Caenorhabditis elegans: one gene and its partner. The protein of the gene in region 1 purifies or fractionates together with the protein of each later gene. This does not show direct contact. Each region holds a gene or a part of one and is shown on either strand. Other genes may lie near its edges. The genes, in order: nasp-2 and his-67.

Region 1 (4,639 bases):
ATAGAGCTCCAAGATGGCTGGTCAACCAAGTACTGATTCGCCCGACTTCCGAAGTATTTCCGGGTGTATTTGCAAATATTTCCGCAAGCAGGGTGAAAACATTTGAAGGTGGACATTGTTCTTTGCCTACTACCAATTTCGTGCTATTGACAATTTTTATGAAATTGGAATATTCTAGCTGAAAATAATTAGTTGAAATTAAGCTACAAAGACATTAACAACTCACAGATATTCTCAATTCATCAGCTCCATTATCAGTTACTTGATCCATCAAAATAGTTGTATATCCTGATTGAAGAAGCATTGCAGATTTTACCACTTGAAATAAGTCGTATCGATTTTCTGGCTCGTCATTTATCCAATTATCAAAATCTTTCCATACCGAGGGTCTAAAAATTTTAATTAATTTTTTAATCAAGAATATATATTTTAACAACATACTTTTTTGTGAACAAAATTTTCTTGTTGGTTCCCGACGTCCCGGACGCCGATTCGTCGACATCGCCTTCCACCATCGGGTGATTTCGTGAGGACCCGCCTAGAGAAATTCCATTAATTAAAATGATTGCGTAAAAACTCAATAAGATATGATAAAAATAATAAAACAATTTGAGCAAGATTTAGAAGTTGTATACTTTCGAAATTAAGAAAATCACAATTGTCACAAAAGATGAGTGGTTTTCGGATTTCATGTGAATCAAAAATGTATGTATGTATAAGATGGTTATAAAATAAATATTTTAACTGACAATTCTAAATTTAAAAGTAAGAATTCATTAAATAAGCAATAAAAAATCATGAGAAGCATTTTAAAAAGCATCATTGCGAAAATATTTCACGAGGAGTACACGGCCGACGGCCTAGAAATCGATTGACATTAAACAAGGCGCAACCGAAATATCGGAGCATCGTTGCTTATGGTAACAATTAAATTTTGCGAAAACTTTTTCAAACTCTGGCAAAAAAGGAACATTGTCTTGATGCCACCGAAATAATTAGGTTTCTTCTAATTGAACACCAAAAGAATGATTATAAAAAGGGGAATTTTGTAAAGCTCATAAACACCTGATGTCTCATGGCATCCAGTGATTTCTGCACCGATCCGAATATAATGTTTTTCTAATTCATGGGGAAAAAGATATTTTAGATGGCGTCCTTTTGGAGCGGATAAAAATGACCTGAAGTGGAAGCATCTTCTTCCGACTTCGGTCCTGTAACATTTTATTTCTGTAAAGATCTCCATGATTCAAAAATATTTCTTCATCGCTGTAGGAAACCGCAGTCTCTCTTCAATAGTTCTTTGTTGTCTTCATGTTTTATTGAGTGTGAAGAGTTGAGAATTATTTAGAAAAATGAATTGATTTCGACGTCATCAATAATGAAAATGGAACGATATATCTGCTTCGACAAGGATGACAGACGACCTAGGAGAATCCGAGTTCAAATATACTCAACTTTGACTTAAATCTTTTTCACGATTTTCAAACTATATTCTGTAATCGATTATTATAATCAGCGCTGTTGAGCTGGTAGCTAACAGCTGGTAGCTGGTAGGTCCACTTTATTAGATAAAACCGTAGTGAAATTAAAGGCGCTGCCACTTTCCCTGGCTCCGCGTCCCGCCACGACAGAATAGACAGAATGCACTTGGCGCGAAATTTTGCAATTTAAAAACGATAAGGCGGGAAAATTTCGCATTTGGAGGAAAATGAGAATTTAATTTCATTCGTGAACTCTTTGCTTTTCTCTCATTCATTTTGTTAATTCTATTTTAATTCGTGTTTCTCTCTATTGCTTTACTGTTTTGTTACAACAACATCTCACTTATTTTTCTCACATCTATTATTTTCAGACTACTAACTTCATAATGAGCGCTTTTGCTGATTCTACTAACATTATCGCTCATGATAAGGAAACGATCGCGAAGAATGTCGACTCAACGGGCGAAGAGAAAGTCGCAATGACTAATGTTGCTGAAGAGACTACTCCATCCACTGATTCCGCCACTACTAACGAGAAGACTGCATCGGAAAACTCTCCAACCGAAGCTGCAGCCTCCGATGTTAAGGATGTTGCTGAAGCATCTACTGGTGCTCAAGAGACAAACACTTCGAGTGAAACTCCAGCCGTGGTTGAAGACGAAAAGGCTTCAATGGAAGTGTCAATTGGTACTTCAATCGAAGATTCTGAAACTTCCCAGAAAGAGATTGAAGGCGAACTTGTAGTTCCAGAAAACCCAGTCGAGGAGATTTCACCTGAGCAAAAGTATAGTTTTACCGTCTTTTTTTTTTCAAATCAACGGTTTTTATTCCAGGAGAAAGAGCCTCTCGGAAAATATCATTGCTGGGCGCCGCTTCATGAGGACTGATGTTTTCGACAAGGCCGTAGACGTACTCAGTGTTGCTGCTTCCATTGCTGCTGAAGTTTTTGGAGATGCTCATGAGGACACCTTTGAAGCCAACTTCCTCTATGGAAAGGCCCTTCTTGAAGTTGGAAAGCTGGAGGATAGAGTGCTAGCCAACGCATTGACCGACGTTCCAAAGATGGCTGAGGGAGAGGAAGAAGTTCAAGACGGCATCGTCGAAAACCCTGAAGATGTTCCACGTAAGATTCAGTTTTGTTTTATTTTTCTTTTCTTCTTCAATGAATAAATGTTCAGAAGACGAGCGAGCTGAAATCAAGCAAAAAGTAGAAGAAGCTCTTGGAGTCGCGTCCGAGGAGCCTGAGACCGTTGCTGACGAGGCTGTCAAGACAGAACAAAAAGAAGCTGAGGAGGACAGTGTGGAAAAGGATGTTGAGAACTCCGACGAACAAAATCAGGAAGAAGAGGAGGTCGTCGAGAATGAGGCTACGGTGGATCCAACGGAAGACGTAGAGATGGAGGGTGTCGAAGAAGTTAATGACGAGAAAGAAGTTGGACAAACCGCAGAAGTTGACGGTGAAGCCGAGGAGGACGATGAAGCCGAAGACGATGAAGCCGATTCAATGAAGTTGGCTTGGGAACTTCTCGAGGTAATTAAGACATTATATCAGGCAGTGTGAACATTCAAAACTTCAGACTTCTCGTTGCATTGCTGACAAGAAGGCTGCTAGTCTTGCAGCCGAAAGCACTGTGGACGGGGAAGCCATCAAGATGTGGAAGTTGAATCTCGCCGATGTCCTCACTTCTCTCGGAGAGCATGGAATTGCTGATTCCAAGTATGAACAAGCACAAAAAGATTTAACCGAAGCTATTTCGATCCAAACGGTGCATCTTCCAGCAACTTCTCGTGTTATTGCAAACACAACTCATCTTCTGGCTAAGGCCTTCAGCTCGGACTCGTTATTCGAACAGGCTGCAGCTCACTTCAATGATACTAAGAATATCCTTATTGCCAAGTCGGAGGAGTTGAAGAAGCAGTTGGAGACTGTCTCGGACGACGCGAAGAGTGATATTCAGTCTGAAATCAAGGAGTTGGACGGGATCATTCCAGAACTTGATGCTTTCATCGTTGATGCTCGTGCCTCTGCTGAACAAACCGAAAAGTTGAAATCAGATGCCAAGAAAGAACTCGAAGGAGCTGCTGCTATGCTTGCCAAGGTTGCTGATGTAACTGAAGCTACTGACATCAGCAGTATGGTTCGTCGTCCAACTAAGCGGCCAGCTTCCGAGGAGGCTCCAGAGGAAACCAAAAAGCGCAAATCGGGAGATGGAGTCGACGTTGCTGTCGTCACCGAGGAGCAGGTCGTGGAGTCGACTGAAGAGCCAACACCAATCAACGAATAATTCGTCGTCTTTCTCTCCAATTTCTTGCCATAATATCACAACGTTTGGTCTCATTTTTCACCACTCACCAGCCAACCATTCACTTTAAATCTATGTGGATTTATAGTTCATTTCCATTGCTATTATGTATTCAAATTGTGCTATAAAATCGTGGTTTGTTTAATTTTTTTCTTGTGAACAATTTTTTCTCATAGATATTCCAAGCTATGGGAAGGCGACTTGTGATTTTATTAAATTCAGCTTCCAACTTCTACAGGGTGAAAACGTAGCATCACTGTAGACATTCAAGAAATTCATAGTTTAGAATATTATAATTTAAGTTTTATTAAGAGAGTGGGAGCATACGGCAAAAATCAAACAATGAATATTCCTCCAAAGTGCGACTTCAAGGAGTACTGTAGAATGGGTGTAGAAACTACAGTACTACTCAAAGGCGCACACATTTTTCGGCAGTAATTCTTAAGTTTGTTAGTGTTGGGACCAGGTCGTGCATAAAACCCGTGGATGAAAAAACACATAGCATTTAAAGTTTAAGGCAACCAGTCAAGTAAAAAATAAAATAAATAAATGTCGTGGGACAATGTATTAAATGGCAGTGGAAACAATAATGAAATGTGAAATTCGAAAAAAGAAGTAAAGCTGTGCTATATAATAAATTGATACGTGAGATGTGGTGAGTTTATGTTATGAATGATTATGTTGGAAACGAGATATAGCGGAGAGCATGTGAAAGCTCAAAGAAGAGAAACATATCTCTTATTATCATATTGCGAAAAGATAAGAGATGTATGACATTAGGGGAAATTACCCCCTAATGTCAATGGTCTTCAAAGAGAAGCAATTAACGTAATTATGAACTGTAGAAGGTGAACC
Region 2 (2,840 bases), on another chromosome or scaffold:
TAGAAGTTTGACGGAAGACAGTATCAATTGCATGCATCATTCGCAACTTCTGGTTCTGATCCTGATTTCCTGTGATACTGAAAAAGATTGAATTAAAAACAATGAAGAAGGTTTTCCAAGTAAAAACTCACATTTTAGTATCCAAGAGGAAGCTGTCGACATGTGTTAGATAGAGTTTGAATAGATTAGGTGATTCTTTTGTATTAACAACTCCTGCAACATTGATGACTGAATTATTCACTTCCTTGACATTAATCAGCTCTGTTGAGTACACAGTGTGAATTCCATCGAAAACTAACGGGCACTCGATAAGTCCGGGATTCTGTTCTTGCAGAGTTCTCAAAATCGTTCTGTTCAGCTTTTTCGACGGAATATCTGGATCGAATCGAATATAGTATTGATGAATAATCGATCCATTGCACGTGATTTGAAAATGATTGGCGAGAAGTGATAAGAATCGTCCTGTAGTGCTGGGAAGTGGCTTTCCTATCAATTTGAATGGCTCTCTGAAATTTTTAAATGTTTTAATTGTAATTTCTCAGGCATTCACCTGTTTTCTTCAATAGGATGCAGGTAGAGATCATCGGAAACTCTGGATCCAGAAGAACTGCTGAGAAACTGAAAACAATTTTATGTAATCAGCTAAATCCGAATTTTCTTTTTAAAAACCTCATTTTCCAAACTGGGCACGTTGATCGAAGTACTTCTTGATGAAGTGGAACTCCTCACTTTTAACTTTTCGACCAAATCATCATCATAAATTGCCGACAGCAACCATTGGTCTTCCATACCTGAAATTTGTTAATTTAAAAAAACTCAAACTGGAAAACGCAAAGAGACCATCGGCAATGTAAAATGCACGGTATCAGGTAAAACGGGCAACTATTCCAAAAAAATTCCTGAAAGTGAGAAGATTTCAATGAAGTTTTAACTGGTGAATTCTCCAGATTATATTTCGAATAAGAAATGAAAAATATAGCACAAATAGTTTATTGATTTGAACAAAGAGGATTTTCAGAAAATTGTGGCTCTAAAGAGGGCCGTTGGGTTCGGTGGGTTTTTGGATTCGGAAGATATTTATTCCTTATCTCCTCCGGTCTTCTTTGGGAGAAGAACGGCTTGGATATTTGGAAGAACTCCTCCTTGTGCGATTGTCACTCCGGCCAAAAGCTTGTTGAGCTCTTCGTCGTTACGGACAGCAAGTTGAAGATGTCTTGGGGCGATACGGGTCTTCTTGTTGTCACGGGCAGCATTACCGGCCAACTCGAGAACTTCAGCAGCGAGGTATTCGAGAACAGCGGCCAGGTAGACTGGGGCTCCGGCTCCAACACGTTGAGCATAGTTTCCTTTGCGAAGAATACGGTGAAGACGGCCGACTGGGAATTGAAGTCCAGCTCTTGACGAGCGTGACTTGGCCTTTCCTCCGGTCTTGGCTTTTCCTCCCTTTCCACGCCCAGACATTATGAGCGATTGGTGATCGTAAAACTAATCTGAAGAATGAACCAAGACAGTCGCTTTATATTTATTTTTACGGTGGCGGGGCGGAGTTTCCTGCGGGGACACCTCTTTTTGAACATTCGGTAAATTCCTGCGGGGACACATTTATCTCGTTTCTGCGTCTCTCTCACCTTCCTGTATGTCTCGCCTACTAGAGGCCAAAACGGCAGATATCTCTGCAGATGCAAGAGCGGCAGGCACGGAAATGTGTCCCTGCAGGATGGCGCAAACTGACTCCGCCTTTGCACCGCTGTATCTGCATAGGGAGTATATAAGAAGAACTGTTTTCCCAGTTCATCATCATTCGTGAGTCTTCAGCCAATCACTCAACAATGTCCGGACGTGGAAAGGGAGGAAAAGGCCTTGGAAAAGGAGGTGCCAAGCGCCATCGTAAAGTCCTTCGGGACAACATCCAAGGAATCACGAAGCCAGCCATTCGCCGTCTAGCAAGAAGAGGAGGAGTCAAACGTATCTCTGGATTGATCTACGAAGAAACTCGTGGAGTTCTCAAGGTGTTCCTTGAGAACGTTATCCGAGACGCCGTCACTTACTGCGAGCACGCCAAGAGGAAGACCGTCACAGCCATGGACGTTGTCTATGCTCTGAAGAGACAAGGAAGAACCCTGTACGGATTCGGAGGATAATTTCAATTGTCCTCCCGCTTCCATGCAACAACCACCGAACCCAACGGCCCTCTTTAGGGCCACAAATGATAAATCCAAACAGTCCGATTGCAATAAATGTTTATTTTCAATGCTTCAATTTTTTATCTTTTCACTCTTCTAAACGAATTTTACAGATGTTTCTCCAAACTCGATTTTCCACAAAAACGAAAAATCACGATAAAACACAAAGTCTAGACGCACAGTATAGAATTCAATTTGAATTTTCAAAAGAGTTCATTTCAAATCAGATATTACTTTTTAAAGTTATGAAAACTAAATAAATCTCCCAATAAAAAATGCGGTAATTTATATGCGTGAAATTTAGTTTTTTTTGATTGAACTCGAAGCTTCTGGCACCTAGAAAAATTACCGCGCTCTAATAATTATGAACACTCCAGGAGACCGTGTTTGATTGTCTTTTTTTGTGAAAATATTCCGTTTCCCATTGCCACCAGTTTCCCATCGTTTATTGCATACGTCCCATCACTTTTTTCTTATTTTCTGACACAATTTTTTCTTGAATTTTTAGGGTGTTTTTTTTTAATTCTTTGTAAAATTTCCATATAATTATCTTATCCCTAGGAAATAACTAGCATAATAACTCCATGCCCGACAAAAAAATATGTGATAAGGAGATAGTTCTAGGATTCAAGTAAAAAAGTTGAAGAAACGTTTTCA

Evidence for each region.
Region 2: the proteins of nasp-2 (region 1) and his-67 fractionate together in Caenorhabditis elegans (co-fractionation; one large-scale study listed by BioGRID). This does not show direct contact.

What each region holds. Positions count from the first base shown.
Region 1 is NC_003283.11:13,309,474-13,314,112, reverse strand, and holds nasp-2 (Tetratricopeptide SHNi-TPR domain-containing protein), read left to right. Parts: upstream 1-1,852; 5' UTR 1,853-1,867; coding exon 1,868-2,265; intron 2,266-2,314; coding exon 2,315-2,604; intron 2,605-2,659; coding exon 2,660-3,012; intron 3,013-3,058; coding exon 3,059-3,766; 3' UTR 3,767-3,927; downstream 3,928-4,639. Other genes in the region: C50B6.3 (DUF3452 domain-containing protein), read right to left, coding at 1-178, 227-389, 442-515.
Region 2 is NC_003279.8:9,987,753-9,990,592, reverse strand, and holds his-67 (Histone H4), read left to right. Parts: upstream 1-1,829; coding exon 1,830-2,141; downstream 2,142-2,840. Other genes in the region: alg-5 (Protein argonaute-2), read right to left, coding at 1-77, 132-506, 551-618, 670-789; his-68 (Histone H2A), read right to left, coding at 1,078-1,461. UniProt on the Caenorhabditis elegans protein: Core component of nucleosome. Nucleosomes wrap and compact DNA into chromatin, limiting DNA accessibility to the cellular machineries which require DNA as a template.